2 linked regions of the Elephas maximus indicus genome follow. The protein of the gene in region 2 purifies or fractionates together with the protein of the main gene of each other region. This does not show direct contact. Links are inferred from orthologs where the notes say so. Each region holds a gene or a part of one and is shown on either strand. Other genes may lie near its edges.

Region 1 (7,865 bases), on a different chromosome or scaffold from region 2:
AGGTTAACAAGTAGCCCTGGTGGAACAGTGGTTAAAGCGCTCGGCTGCTAAAAGAAAGGTCTGCAGTTCAAACCCACCAGCCACTTTGCAGGAGAAAAGATATGGCAGTCTGCTTCTGTGAAGATTTACAGCCTGGGAAACCGTATTAGGCAGTTCTATTCTGTTCTAGTGGGTCACTATGAGTTGGAATCAACTGGATGGCCGTGGGTTTGGGTTGGTTTGGTTCTTAGGCTAACAACCTAAGAACACTGAACGGGAAGCCCAAAGGAGACTGGAAAATAGTGTAACTGATGGATTTTCAGATGGCAAGCAGAGTCCAAGTGGAGAGGCCGCAGGATGTTGACAGGCCCAGGCCCTAGTCCCTGAGAACAAAGGTGAGGTGGTTCAAGAGACCAGAGAGAAACTCCCAAGGAGCAACTTTATGGGAAGAAACACCCAAAGGAGCAAGGCAAGTGCAAAGGGATTGTGGAGAAGGCCCCCGGCTTCTGGTCCCAGCATAGCCAAGGCCCCAATACACAACTAAAGGCTTTTATTCGGAAAGAAGCAGCCCCCAGTGTCCTCACTTCCTGAGACAGCTGGAGCCTCCCCCACAGAGTCCAAGAAAGAAGGGGCCACTAAACTCGGCCCTCAGTGGGCTCAGGTGTAGAGGTCAAAGTCAATCCGTTTGGAGTTGTAGAACTGACCACCAGGGGGGTCCAGCTTCCGGCAATACACACCATCAGGGAAGTAGCCTTCATTCACCCAGGTCTGCAGGGAGAGAGGGCAGAGCTAGGGGAGGAGCTGTGGAGGTGGGGGATGGGAAGCACAAGGCAGAACTAGGTAGAAAAGGACTTACCTGCATCTGGGCACTGGTAAAGGGCCCATATAGCTCAGCATCCCGTGTGTTCTCCCATTTGTATTCCCACATCACATCCACTAGACCATCCCCTGGCGACTCTGCTTCTAAAATAAGAGGAAAAGCAATCTGGGCCTCAACCACCATGCCTTCTGCCCACAACACCCCTCTTCTGCCCTCCAAGCTTACCTCCTCTTTGGGCAGGGGTTGGGCTCTCCAGCTCCTCCTCTGCTACTTCCTCAGCAAACATGTCCAGAGAGGGTGGGGGTGCAGGGTCATGGGATCCCTGGGTCCGGCACCCCAGCCCCTTCAGCCGCATGGCCAACCGTTCCCGAGTCTCCTGGTACACACCAAGGTTGCCCCGGGCCACCATTTGGTCGGCCAACCCTGAGAGCCGGTCTAGGCGCTGTGGGGAGCTGGGCCGCCCAGGCCCTTTGCTGTCCCCTTTGCCTCCGCCTCGGGCCCCCAGACGCCTCAATGCCCCAGCAACTGTCTCCCTCGGCAACAGCAGCTCCAGAAGGCCCTCCAGAAGGGCTTGGGCACTCATCGGTGTCTGGCCCAGGCTGTTCTCCTCCTCTGAGTCTGACGTCTGATGCTGATCAGGTGGTTGCTCCCTAATCTTTACCTGTAAATATGAAGACAGAAAAGTTATTCCCTACAAATTGCCAGCAGGGCTCAGACTGCACATTTTCTGCCCACAGACCCCAGTCATGCCAGCCCCTGGGCCACACCCAATCAATGTTATCCAGCCAGTTGTCTCGGATCTGAGCATCCCGGTTCAAGAAGTAGTTGCCATCGGCATCAAAGCGGCCTTCCTCCATCTCTTCCTGTAGGTTGAAGGGTGTGATCCGCACACCTCCCTCGCTGGGGAGTGTGGCTGCTTCCTGACCTGCACCAAAGACACACATGCTCCATGCTAGGTGTGCAAAAAGAGGCAGTGGCCAAAAAAAAAAAAAAAAAGGCAGGAGCCTCCCTTGTCCCACAGCCCCAGAAGCCCCTCCTTGTCCCTCTGGCTGAGTCACATCTTCAGTATAACTCACCCTCCACATCTTCTGAAGCCAGGATGTCGTATTTGCTGGACCCCTCCTCATCGTCATCCTCCTCATCGCTGTCCAAAGAGTGTTTACCTTTGAAGCGGCTCCCAGGACCCCCTGCCCCAGCCACAGGATCCACCAGCTATGAGCAAGAATCAGCAAATCAAGAGATGCGGGATATTGGCTACTCCCCAAAATACTCCAGGATTTGGACCCAAACTGAAAATTCTTCAAAGTCATTCCTCAGAGAATATTCGAAAACCAACCCACTTTTTGTGTCCTCAGCTTTATTTCTCTTTCAGTTTCTAGCTTCTCTTTTCTCCCCTCACTCGTCCCAGAACACAGGAGTCTGGCCCCCTCACCTTCTTCTTGGGGACACTGATTTCACTCTCATCATCATCATCATCATCTCCCACGCCCTGGAAAGTCACTTTCCTCTTTGGCATGACGGGGCAGAGAAGGCTTCTCTAAACTGTGCTGAGAGAAAGCAGGCGAGGTAAGAGAACTGGAGGGGCGAGGAGGGGACTCAGGCGAGAGAGCCCCGCTCCCACCCCCACAACAAACATTTCACCAGGTACATCCTGTTCGGGAGGGGAGGGAGCACAGGATGAGTCCGAAAAGGGAGCTGGCAGCCAGGCAACTCCCTTGGTTCGGGATTCCAGAGGGTGCTGGAACCGGAAGAGAGGGTATCTCCCCATGGTATTCCCACCTTTAACGAAGAGGCAACCGGCTCTCCCACGTGACCACCCCCTCCCCGGCTCCCGCAGTCCTAGGCACGGCGGCACTCTGGGGGCTGACAGCTGGCCCCTCAGGGTCCCCAGAGCCCGCGGGGCCCACGCAGCCCCAGGATCTGGAGCCCTGGCCGCCCCACTCCTCCTAGCGCCCAAACTCCCAACCCCGCGGGGAGACCTCCAACTGCCGGTGCTATGTATACAAACTAGAGGGGCTGCAAAGCCAGGGGAGACTCAGGAAGTCCCACTGGCGCGCGCTCACCTGGGGCTCCAGGGGAGACGGGGGAAGAAAAAAAGAGATGCTTTCGCTAGGGATATATCCGGGGCGCCTGACCGCCATCACCCGGAAGAGAACTGCCGAAGGCGCCAGGGAAGCTGGAAGTGACTTCACTCCGGTTAGAGAACTAACTGAAAGAGCGGGCGGAAGTATGCAATGAGCGAGGGACGACCTGCCAGAAGTGACGTAAACTGGCGAAATGACAAAAAGGGATCGTATGACCGCTTAGACTCGGATCCGGCGAGGGAGGTGGTGTGGATCCCCTCAGGCAGCAGTAGAGGTTTTGGGGAGAAAGTGGAGTGCGCTCTAATTCAAGGGGCGCCCAGAGTCAGCATGGAGGGGCAGAGTCCGAGCAGGTCCAGTACATTCCTAGCCGGTTACCTTTTCAGGGTTCGATCACCCTTTTTCCACAGCTAGCTAAGGGCTCTACGCCCACCATCTGAGGAGAAATCATCCCTGCCCACTCCCAGCTGTCTGCTCCGTTCTTAGTGTCAAGAGACGGAGCCTTTTCTCTGGGGAAGCCTGCTCGACTCTTCTGATGGCCCACTTTGTGGCCCCTGACCACTCCTAGGTCTCTCAAACACCGAGCTCCCTTTAGGCCCCAAGGGAAGTCATTTGCTCCACACCTACCCCCAGAACGGCTCCTGGTTTCTCAGGTGGGAAAGCCACCAACAGGAGAGGTAGCCAAGTACCCAGGCCAGAGGCCTCTCCTGTCCCTCTCAGGTAGGCCTGCAAAAGGGTAGCAGTACCTCTCTCGAAGTGCAGCGCAGGATAAAGCCCCCACCCTTAGCAAACAAAGCCCAGGTGCTGGGAGCTTGGCCCAAGGGGGTGGGGTTGGGAGGTGGGAGGAGTGGGTCCCATTACTGTGGTAAAGAGGTCCCAAACTCTAGTGGACACTCAGGAGCTTGAATCCCACTAGGCTAGTGCTCAGAAGCCTGCTGAAGCCAGAGGACACCAGCAGGGGGCACCTAGGGCGACCATCTGGCCCCTCCTCTCTCCCGCTCCCTGGATTAAACCACCGTGAAACCTCACCTAGAGTCTGTTTTATTCTGGGGGTCAGAGCACAGGTCCCAGATCGGGATGGCTTCTTGCTAAAGAATGGGGTCCAAAACACCAGCTACCAGTGCTGCTGTTCCTCCTCCATGGAAACCTACCTGGAGCACCAGGCAGACAGCACACACCTAAGCCTCGTCCTGTTGGAGAACTGCCAGGTGGAGCCACACCTTGGAGCCGTGGAATCCAACATGGAATCCTACACCTTTAAGGTTCTGACCCCTGAGGTGGAGGGCACAGAGGGTGGCATGGACCTATCAGCTGGCTACAGAAAACCAAGAGCTGGAGGGCCTGGCATGGGCACTGGCCAGAGTGAGCTGGAGCCGGCTGGCAGCACTGCTACCCTCTCTGGAGTCCCCAGTACAGGAAAGTGTGCCAGGCGACTGGCCAGGAGCCCAGCTCACTCTCAGAGAGCTGTGGCTTTCTAGCCACCCTCACTCAGTACCCCCTCAGGCTTCTAGGAGCTGCATGAGTGCTTTAGGAAGGAGATCTGGGTGCTGCAGGAAAAGCGTAGAGGGCTCCAGACCAGTGACAATGGAGAGAGCAAATTCCAGGCAAAGCTGAGGCAGGAGCTCAACCAGTTTGTTGATGAGCGACTGAGATGGACCAAAGGCCAAGAGGCACCTGCCAAGACCAGCAGACTGCTTTGATAGAGACCCAGGTCCTGTCTGTCTTCCCTTCCTCCCTAGCCATTACCCCCACACCTCCTTCATCAAAAAACAAGGCAGAAGACAAGCCCAGGTACAACAGCAGGTTCTTTTCCGGTTCCTCAAAGCGCCACACGCACAGGGCGGGGGCAGGGACAGAAGAAAATGTAAACATAGGGTTCCACCCCTGGACCTCAAGGGAAGACTCCTCTGATAGGGGATGGAAGGAAACAAGGTGAAAGGTAGGGGCCCTCGTGAGACAAAGCAGGGGAGGCCTGAGAACACAGAGGAGGGAGAGCATGAGGGCAGGGGTGGGGAGGTGGGGGACATTTCCTGTTCCAGTGCATGTCCCCTTAAATAAACTGGGACACGAGCATTGTGGAAGGAGAACCGAAGAGCAGAAGATGGAGTGAGCATTCCCCCCCCAGGCTGGCCAGGTCCTCTGTACATAATTATAACAGAGATGTCCAGAAATAGATCAAGGAGAACCTTGGCCCCCAGCCAAGAAGTGGGGACTGGCAGGACTGGAGGAAGGAAAAGGGAACCCAGCTCCACCTCATAGGTAAGGGAAGCCACTGGAGTGTAAGAATCTGAAAACTGCAGACTCCCATCACCAAGAGTCACCCCCGTAATGACAAGAAATCAACCAGGACAGCACCGGGGAGGGGGACCCCACAGGGAGTTGGGGCAGGAGTGACAGAGACCCTGGCTGGGTCTGTCTGGAGGTAAGGGGCTCCAGATTTGCTCCTGGCTGCCTCAGGGAAATGCAGCTGCCCCATGCACTCTGTCTTGGCTGTGTAGGATCAGCAGCTGGCATGAGGAGATAGGGTATCAAGCCACCTTCCTCTGAGAAGGACGGCCTACCAAGGGGGCTGGGGGCAGCAGCCCAGGCCAGGCCTGCTCTTGGCTGAGGGGAAAAGGGGGGCCATGCAGTCCAGCCCCAGGGCAGAGGTCAGAAGTACGCATCCTGCCGGGCCTCAGATGCCAAGGACCTGTCCCCACCATCCTGAGGGGCTGGGGGCCCATCTGCCTTTCGACGCAGCGAAAGCTTCCGGCCTTGGGCCTTCTTCTCCTGCTTCTGCCGTTCCTTCTCCTGCTTCTGCCGTTCCTTCTCCAGCTTCTGCCGCTCCTTCTCCTGTTTCTGCTGCTCCTTCTCCTGCTCTTTTTCCCACTTCTGCCGCTCCTTCTCCTGCTTCTCCCGCTCTTTCTCCTGTTTCTGCCGCTCCTTCTCACTCTCCTTTTCCTGTTTCTGCCGCTCCTTCTCACTCTCCTTTTCCTGTTTCTGCCGCTCTTTCTCCTGCCTCCGGGCTTCCTTGCTGGTACCCAAGGGGGTGCTGTTGCCAGTAGGTGAGGGAAGGGATGGATGCAGTCCCTCAGCAGTGACCATAGGCCCTGGGGCAGGCCCAGCACTGGCCCTTCGGGCAGGAGGGGGTGGAGAGGGCGCCCCACCACCTAACCGGGAGCCTCGGCTCTTGAGGCCAGGGAGGCTGAGGAGGCTGGAAGAGGGGCCCAGAGGTGGCTGCTGCCGTCGCCGCTCTTCATGGATGGCCCGGGAGCCATGTAATCTCCGTGAGGGCCGATACTGCAGCTCCCCCCGGGTTTCCCGCCACTTCTTGAGCTGCGCTGCGTTTTCTCGCTCAATCAGTGCCTCTGTCACTGGGAGGTTGGTCACCTAGAAAGAGAGGAAATGGGTTGCAGAATGAAAAAGAGGTGCATGGATGGGCCAAAGCAGATGTGGAGTGTGTAGAGTCAAGTCCTACCTCGTGCACAAGGAAGTCCTCCTGCATGCACTGCTGCGGCAGGTTGCGCAGCTGCTCCATGGTCTCATACATGCCTTGGCAGGAGCGCAGCTTCTCCACAGAGCCCAGCGTGTGCCGCAGGAGCACCAGGGCCACTCGGAAGATGATCTTGACGCCTAGAGGGCCAGAAGAGAGCATGGGGGGATCAGGCCCCGGATCTCAGCCAGTCCCATTTAGTAGGGACTCACAGCCCCCATCCCTCTTACTGCTAAATCTTACAGATGAGGAAATTGAGGCCCGAGAAGGAAAATGAGTTGCCACGGGTTTCTGCTTCCTGGGAGGAAGAGCAGCCCTGGGTTGGTGGCACAGCCAAAGATCAGGCCTCAGTTCCTCCAGCCTCCAGGCTGCTTACATTGAAGCCTAGGCCCAACAACTACCTTCTGTCATGGGGCCATGAGAAATGTGACAGGGCCCTCTGGCAGTCACCACAGAAGCCCCAGCCCCTCAGGGCCTGCATGGCCACAGATGTACCTTCACAGAAGAACATGTCCCAGACACGCAGCACTGAGGCCCAGGGCAGGGTGCGGGCAAAAATACACATGAACCATTCTGTCATGTAGAGCACAGGGTCAATGCGCTGCCGCCGCAGGTGCCGATGTGCCAATGGGGACGCCCGGCGCAATAGCGCAAAAAAGATCTCTCCATCCAGCTGAATGGCCTCCTGGAGGAGTAACAAGTCATGAGAGGAGGGCCTGGCCTGCTTCGGCCCCCTAGGGATAGACCTAGCCCTGAGAGTGGATGCTCACCCCAGTGAGGAGATGCCCAAAGACAGGGACTGAAGGGCAGTGTGAGGCAGGGTAAGGGTTTCCCTGCAGCCTTGGGGAAAAGTTACAGCCCGAGGTGCACCCAGCCTCCACTCACCAGTCCTGCACTGTAGTAGCCAGGGAGGTACTTGTCGCAGATCTGTACCAGGCACCAAAACGCTTGCTGGGAAGGGCAAGAATAAGGAGGGAGGGATGGGACCTGAGAAAGAGATCGGGGAGCTCCTCCATCACCACTGTAGGCCAAGATGCTCCCAGCCCACCCCCACCAGGACAAGCCTATGCTGACCTCAGCAGGCATGTGCATGAGCAGCACTGCAGCCACTGGGGCCTGGGCCTGGCAGTAACCCTCATCGGGCCGGTAGATGGTGTAGGCCTTCAGGATGCGATACAGGTCCTGTTGCCTGGAGGGACGGGGAAGACTGTGAGGGTGATCACAGGAGTTGCGAGCTCTCTGACCCAAACCAAATCTGCTCCCTACCAGCCCCAGCCTAGACTTTTCCATCACCTAGCTGCAGATTAATCTCAGAATTTCACCACGACATACCATCTGCCTTCCTAGTCCTGCCTATCGAGCTATCAAGGTTGAGACCACAAAGCATTCCAGCTCTTGCTCTCCAACCTTTGGCTACACACCCCATACTCCTTACCCATTCTCTAGTCCAGGCTGTGCTCTCTCGCCTCCCAGTCTTTGTCCCTGCCTCTCTCCCTCCAACTGCCACTATCCC
Region 2 (6,880 bases):
AGACAGACTACCTGGGTTCATCCTGGCTCTGCCAAATACAACCTCTGTGACTTGGGGAAATTACTATTCTGTGCCTCACGTCACTCTTCCGTAAAATGGAAAATGAGTATTAACTGCACCTTATCTCACAGAGCGAATGTGAGACCTAAAAGAGAACAGGCACGGAAAGCGCCATCCCACATGAAAAAAACGGTCACTTAACGTGGGCCGCCGTTATTAGTCCTTCTGCCAACTGGTGTGGCCCATACAGGCAGATCCAGAGACAAGGCTCTTCAGTGATCCCAGCTGTGACCTTCTCCCTTCCAAATGCCGGTCCTCACGCTCTGGCTGCCTCACCTGGTCCCCGAGCGCAGCCTGGATGAAGCTGAGCAGCACCTCATAGGTCTCCCGGGTCTCCTTAGTTTTGGGCTTATAGATGATGCCCACCATCTCGTCAATGCCCTCCGACAACAGGGTATAGCCCTTCATCTTGTTGATGTCATGCCGGTCCTCGTCACGCTTTCTTCGCCTAATGGACACACAATATGATGTTCAACAGAGAGAAGCTTCCCTCGCCAAGCGAAGGCTAAATCAAACCCACACCCCTCTTTTTCAGTTTTGTGATACACACCTATATCTGAAAAGAGAAACCTGTACCTCAGCAGATGATTCCCACTTGACCTTAAGTCCCTAGCACGAGACATTTCTTGATGGGACTCATCGACAGAAAAGGAGCCCTATGGTGCACCAGCTGCGCTAATCGATACAATGAGATAGCCTCCTCATTCATTTAAAAGAATCACTTCGTATGAAGATCTTATGTAACCTGATCCTGGCTAGTTTTTCACCTCTCATAGACATTTCCTTTTCCTAGCCAGAGAAACGGAAGCTCCAAAGGAATCCACTGCTCTTGACTCCTGCGGTGTGAGGACTGATTTTATGTGGCCTTTCTAAGCATGGTCTCATAACTTCCACCAAATGACTGAATGTGACTACAGAAAGAAAGTGCTTGTGGTCCACCAAGGGGACTGGACAGCTTGCTAAAAATGCAAATAAGGTGTGTGGCACCCGTGGGGGTGGAACCACGCACATATGGTACGTGGCCCCCTAATGAGGGGACTATCAGTTTTGCCATCCCACCATGCTTAAAATGAGCTCATCCCAGAACAGAGCGGGGCTTCACTACCACCAAGAAGAAGAGATGGGAGCAGAGTGCATCCTTTGGACATGGCGTCCCTGCGCTGAGAACCTCCTAGACCCAGGAGACAGAGAAAGAGAGCTCCAATGTCGGAGACAGTGCTGCAGCAGGGAAACGGCAGCAGCAGAACCAGGAGACCAGCACCAGACAACACGGTAGCCACTGCAATGAGTTATCGAACTCAGCAGAGCAGCAGACAGCTCCTGAGAGGGCTGGCCGGTGTCAGAACTGGTAAAAAGACTGGAGGATCAAGGGCTGTCTGACCTCCATCTCATAGCGATCAGCTGGCTGATGCTGATGGTGAAGCTCTCCCTAATCATAAAGTGAGACAAAAAGAAGGGTGACACTGCCACCATGCCATTCTTACAAACTCCCAACAAGGTACAATAAAATTGGAAAAGAGGTCATATGCTGCAAAATGGAAAACTAATAATCTATTCACTCATTTCAAATATAACTACTTTAATCAAAAGTGGGCCTAGGAATTTTTGAGACTTTATCACAGAGAATGGAGGAAACACAGAGATGTTCGGAAAAAAACGGTGAGATAAAGTTCAATCATTGTCTAGGTTTTGAAATACCTCAAAAAGTAAAGAAAACTAAAAGGAAACAAAGCACCTTTAGTAATATGACCACTAAATGTTAGTTGTAACAACAAAATAGCTGGGAGTAGGCAAAAGCAGAAGAAAGAAATTGAGGTGAAAAGTTAATAATGGAAGAAGAAAAGTTACTGAGACAAGGAAACTTGAAAATACCCCATAAGAAAAGATCTGTATGTGGACCAGAAAGAGATTACTAAAAAAAAGTAACAAAGAGTTATTTTCCACTGCAAATGTACTCACCTAGGCCAAAGACCCTTTAGCTCTTGCGTTCTGTGTTTACCTTCACTAAGATAATTTAATAACCACCGAGGTGTCACCTTGCACCAAGCATTTCTGCAAAATATACTTGAAACTCAAATGCTAAAGAAAACACGGGCTCTAAATGTGAAGAAAAAAGCTTTCCCTTGGTACTCACTTGGCTCTTCTCTCCTCCTGCATCTGCGGCTTGGTCCGCTGAGCTTTATCCCCCATCCGGGTGCCCTCCAGCTTCCCAACCAGAGACAGCACCTCTCCTGTGGGTTCATCGCGGCGGGTGCGGTCAATGAGCGAGCGGTCAGCTTGGAGGACGAGATTCGAGTTCTGGAAAGATCACATTGTCGGAGCTCTGACGTGAACAGGGCCAGCTGCTAATTACGGGGACAAGAGCTGGTAATACCTCAGGACGGGCCGAGGCCACCAAGTGCTAACAGTCCCCAGACGGAGTAAATAAACAGTTTCCTTCAGAAGCGACGGCACCGCGCGAGACTGCGGCGGATCAAGGGCCGAGTTCGGCTCTGGGCTCGGCCCGTCGAGCGACCTGACCCCCCGCCGCCCACACAGCGCGCGACGGCCGGCCTGGGCGGCGAGTGTCCGCAGGGCCCGGCCGGCGCTCAGGGGCCCGGGGAAGCCCTCCGAGGAGGCCCCGGCCGTCCCGCCCGCCAGGCCCAGCGGGCGCCCACAGGCCGTGCAGCCCCACTTGCGCCCGATTCAACCTCCCTCCACCTTCGCGGCTCGCGCGCCGGCCTTCCTCGGCCTCTCGCTCCCCACCCGGCTCCCTCGCCCGGAGTCTTCCCCTAGCCCTCACGCACCGCTTTGTACTCGTACTGCAGGCTGCGGGCGGTCACATCCGCCATGACTGCAGCTCAGCCGGGCCCTCAGGGCTCCGCGCCGCCGCACCACACGCCGCGAACCGCCGCTCCCGTTGCCACAGGCCGGAAGACGCAAGAGGGACGCCCGGAGAGGAAGACGGGAGCTCACTTCCGCTTCCGGGTCGCGCGCAGAGAGTGTGGGGAGGGCACGTCTCCGAGAGGTGGGCGGGGCTGGCGCCTCTGAGTCTCCGGTTCCCCGGATCCCGCGACCCCTGCACTCTGGTTCCTGCGTCCCTTCCGTCGGCCTTCTGGCGCGGCGGACTCAGTGACTCTACTTCCCCACCCCCTACCTGCGGCCCTCAGGTCGTAACGGAACGTACACCTGTCCAGCCCGCTGTGCTGACCTAGACCCTTCTCCACCCGCTTCTTCCTCTGACTCTCGCCCTGTGAGGTAGGCACTCTAGGAGACTGATCACCCCCTTCTCCGCCTGAGGAACCCGAAGCACCCAGCGAGCGGGAGTTAGTCTGTGTAATGGCTACTTTCCTTTGGGTTCCGCAGCTGTATTTAACTCAGAATGGATCAAAGACCTAAATGTTAATCTTAACACCCTAAAATTCCTGCAAGACAATACAGGGAGAAAACTGTGGGACCTGTATAAGAATAGGATAACACATACAACAAATGCAGGAAGAAAATAGATAAATGGGCCCTCGTAAGGTTAAGAAAAAAAAAAAACTTACCCTCATCAAAAGACTTTATTGAAACAGTAAATAGACAACCTAAAGACTGGGAAAAAAAATCTTTGGAAATGACTTCCAAAAAGGGTCTAATCTCTAAAATCTATAGAAAACTGCAACAGCTCAACAGCAAAAAGGCAACCCAGTCACAAAATGGGCAAAGAACGTGAACAGAATCTTCACCAGATAGGACATCCACGCGGCCAACAAACATATGAAAAGATGTTCACAAGCATTAGTCATTGTTGTCAGGTGCTGACGAGTCAGTTACAACTCATTGCGACCCTATAGGGCAGAGTAGAACTGCCCCATAGGGCTTCCAAGGAGCGGCTGGTGGATTTGAACTGCCGACCCTTTTGGTTAGCAGCCGAGCTCTTAACCACTGGGCCACGAGGGCTGTCCTTAGCTGTTAGAGATGCAAATGAAAACTGCAATGAGAAACCCTCTTATCCCTCTCCTCCCCCAAAAGTGGCATTGATTAAAAAAAAAAAACAGGTAACAAATGTCGTCAAGGATGTGGGGACACTGAAACCCTTATCTGTTGCTGCTGAGACTGAGAAATGTAGAACAGTATGGCGCTTTCTCAAAAAAGTAAGAATAGAGCTGTCGTATGATCCAGCAACCCCACTTCTAGGTATAAAACCAGCCTGTTGCCATCGCGTTGATTCTGATTCATAGCGACCCTACAGAACAGAGTAGAACTGCCCCGTAGGGTTTCCAAGGCTGTTACCTGTGTGTAAGCAGACTGCCACATCTTTCTCCCGCAAAGTGCTTCTGTCAAGATTTACAGCCTTGGAAACCCCATGGGGCAGTTCTACTCTGTCCTACAGGTCTCTGTGAGTTGGAATCAACTCATCAGCACCAGGTTTGGTTTTTTGGTTTTTGTTTGTTTTGGTTTATACACGTGGACCTCTCGACTACATTTATGGAAAGAAACAACGGAGAAGCTCAACATCATCAGTAAGAACAAAGCCAGGGGCCAGCTGTGGAACAAACCATCAATTGCTCTTATGCAGGTTCAAGTTGGAGCTGAAGAAAATTAAAACAAGCCCAGGAAAGCCAAAGTACAACTTTGAGTATATCCCACCTGAATTTAGAGACCATCTCAAGAGCAGCTTTGACACATTGAGTTCTAATGACCAAAGACCAGATGAGTTGTGGGATGACATCAAGAGCACCATACATGAAAAAAGCAAAGGTCATTAAAAAGACTGGAGAGACATGAGGCAGTTTTACTGTGTCCTATAAGGTGGCTATGAGTCAGAATTGACTTGATGGCAATGGGTTGTTTTTGTTTTTGCAAAGGAGAGGAAAACCCTCACTGATATTGTTACTGAGCTTCTTTATTCTTTAAAAAAAACTTAAAAAAAAAAACCTGTTGCCCTCAAGTCAATTCTGATTCATAGCGACCATATAGGACAGAGTAGAACCACCCCATAGGGTTTCCAAGGAGCGGCTGGTGGATTCGAACTGCCACCCGAGCTCTTAACCACTGCACCACCAGGTCTCCATTCTTTACTTACCTTTCCATGTATTACAAATACCCTAAAAAAGTTGTAGGAGTAGGAGGAAGGTGTTACTCTGTGGTTCAGGTATGTTATGTACATGTTTAAGTTTGGCTCTTTGATTATCTTCCTAAAGAAGGGAAACCATCCTCAAACTATTTGTGTTGAGTTTTTGAATACTGTTTTAGGATAGACTATACTTCAAGTAATGAAATTCTGCATAGAGGACCTATTCGGAAGTGGGGAAGAAACCATCCAAGCTCTCTTGTTTCTTATTCCCATTTGGAAACAGACGGCCTGACCTCTCAGTCTGGTGTAAAGTATTGGTCTATAGAGAGCTGTTACTTTGCCCTCCCCACTTTTTTATTCTCAGTTAAGAAAAATAGTACATTGCTGCAAACCAATCAATCTTTAAGAGAAATCCCTGCATCCATACCCCCAACTTCTTTGCAGTTATTATTCTCCCCCCACAAATCTAAGTAGTTTTGGAAAAAAAGGACTAGGTTTCACACCCGTGTGTCCCTGACACCTCATCCCAATCTTTCCAGGCAAAATAAATTTAAAAAAATAGCTTTACAGTTCGCAAAAGTGCTTCCTATACGTGCTCATTTCATAAACGTAATAGAATACAACCTGTAAATAGATTTCAGTTCGCTACTGGGGAGTTTATTTTATGGTCAGTATATCGTGAATCTTGCTATCGCCTGGTGGCATCTCATTTTTAAGACTTCTTCAATTATTAGTTGATTCATAGCACAGAACAGGATACAAAGTGGAAAGAAAGCAATGCTCTAGTGTTGTAATTGCTGACTTAAAAATAGACTTTAGAACTAAATGTTTGATTATAAAATTTACATGGAAAAGTAAAGAAAAAAACTATATTTTTAAAGAAAAGAGAATATTCAGGCTTTATTTCTGGTATGAAGTTTTTTTTCTTTTTTAAATCCTATATCATCACACCAGAGATTTTAGATTCTTTTCTGGTTACAAACATTGCTGGTAGTTGGATTATATTTTTAATGTATTCATTTCTCTTAGGAGGAAAACTGTAAAGAAACAAAAAGTTTCCAGATGAATGTATCCTAGAAATAAAAGTTGAAATATTCTTTAAAAAAAAAAAAAAATGGACGTCAGAAGAGAGCCACCAGAGCGGATGACTGCAATGAAAAGTCTGAATATGGTCAGTGCCACAAGGGGCACTGTGGGAGACAGGGAAGGTAGAGTCACTCTGAGGAGACTTGGAGAAACTTCGCAGAGAAGACAGCATTTGCCCGTGGTGTAAAGGCTGGCTAGGATTCAGTGAGGGGTGGGGGGCTTCCGAGGGCGGGGCACAAAAAGAGCTAAAAGCATGGAGCAGGGAAGTCAGGCATGTCCTGGGAGCTGTCAGAGTCAGTTCACCTGCCTGCGGCAAATGTAAGCAATAGGAACAGGGTGGCTACACGTGTAGCTGGGAATCTCTTTATTGAAGAAATAGTCTCGTAGTAAAGAATGCTTACTTCAGCCAGGAGGTAACAGAAAACCATGGCAGGTTTCTGTTTCTTGTTTGCTTGCTTGTTTTTCACACCTGCATAGCAGATACTTGATTAAGGAGACCAATGTTCAGATTAAGCAAAAATTTATTGAGTGCCTATCACGTGACAAAGAGCCCTGGTGGTGCAGGGGTTAAGCACTCAGCTGTTACCTAGTGGTCCGAACCCACCAGCTGCCCCACGGGAGAAAAATGTGGCAGTCAGCTTCCACGAAGGTTTCAGCCTCAGAAACCCTATAGGGCAGTTCTACTCTGGCCTATAG

What was found.
Region 1: the proteins of SNRNP200 (region 2) and CD2BP2 purify together in Homo sapiens (affinity purification with mass spectrometry; 8 studies listed by BioGRID and IntAct, counting the BioPlex papers as one, with this or other methods). This does not show direct contact. The link is inferred for Elephas maximus indicus from reciprocal best matches to the Homo sapiens genes SNRNP200 and CD2BP2.

The regions. Positions count from the first base shown.
Region 1 is NC_064830.1:89,630,576-89,638,440, forward strand, and holds CD2BP2 (CD2 antigen cytoplasmic tail-binding protein 2), read right to left. Parts: upstream 3,004-7,865; 5' UTR 2,863-3,003; intron 2,347-2,862; 5' UTR 2,316-2,346; coding exon 2,232-2,315; intron 2,012-2,231; coding exon 1,876-2,011; intron 1,725-1,875; coding exon 1,567-1,724; intron 1,461-1,566; coding exon 1,025-1,460; intron 943-1,024; coding exon 836-942; intron 769-835; coding exon 637-768; 3' UTR 515-636; downstream 1-514. Other genes in the region: TBC1D10B (TBC1 domain family member 10B), read right to left, coding at 5,530-6,249, 6,338-6,492, 6,848-7,037, 7,238-7,303, 7,427-7,541. UniProt on the Homo sapiens protein: Involved in pre-mRNA splicing as component of the U5 snRNP complex that is involved in spliceosome assembly.
Region 2 is NC_064835.1:88,744,416-88,751,295, reverse strand, and holds the start of SNRNP200 (U5 small nuclear ribonucleoprotein 200 kDa helicase), read right to left. Parts: upstream 3,016-6,880; 5' UTR 2,892-3,015; coding exon 2,847-2,891; intron 2,359-2,846; coding exon 2,195-2,358; intron 509-2,194; coding exon 337-508; intron 1-336. UniProt on the Homo sapiens protein: Catalyzes the ATP-dependent unwinding of U4/U6 RNA duplices, an essential step in the assembly of a catalytically active spliceosome. Plays a role in pre-mRNA splicing as a core component of precatalytic, catalytic and postcatalytic spliceosomal complexes.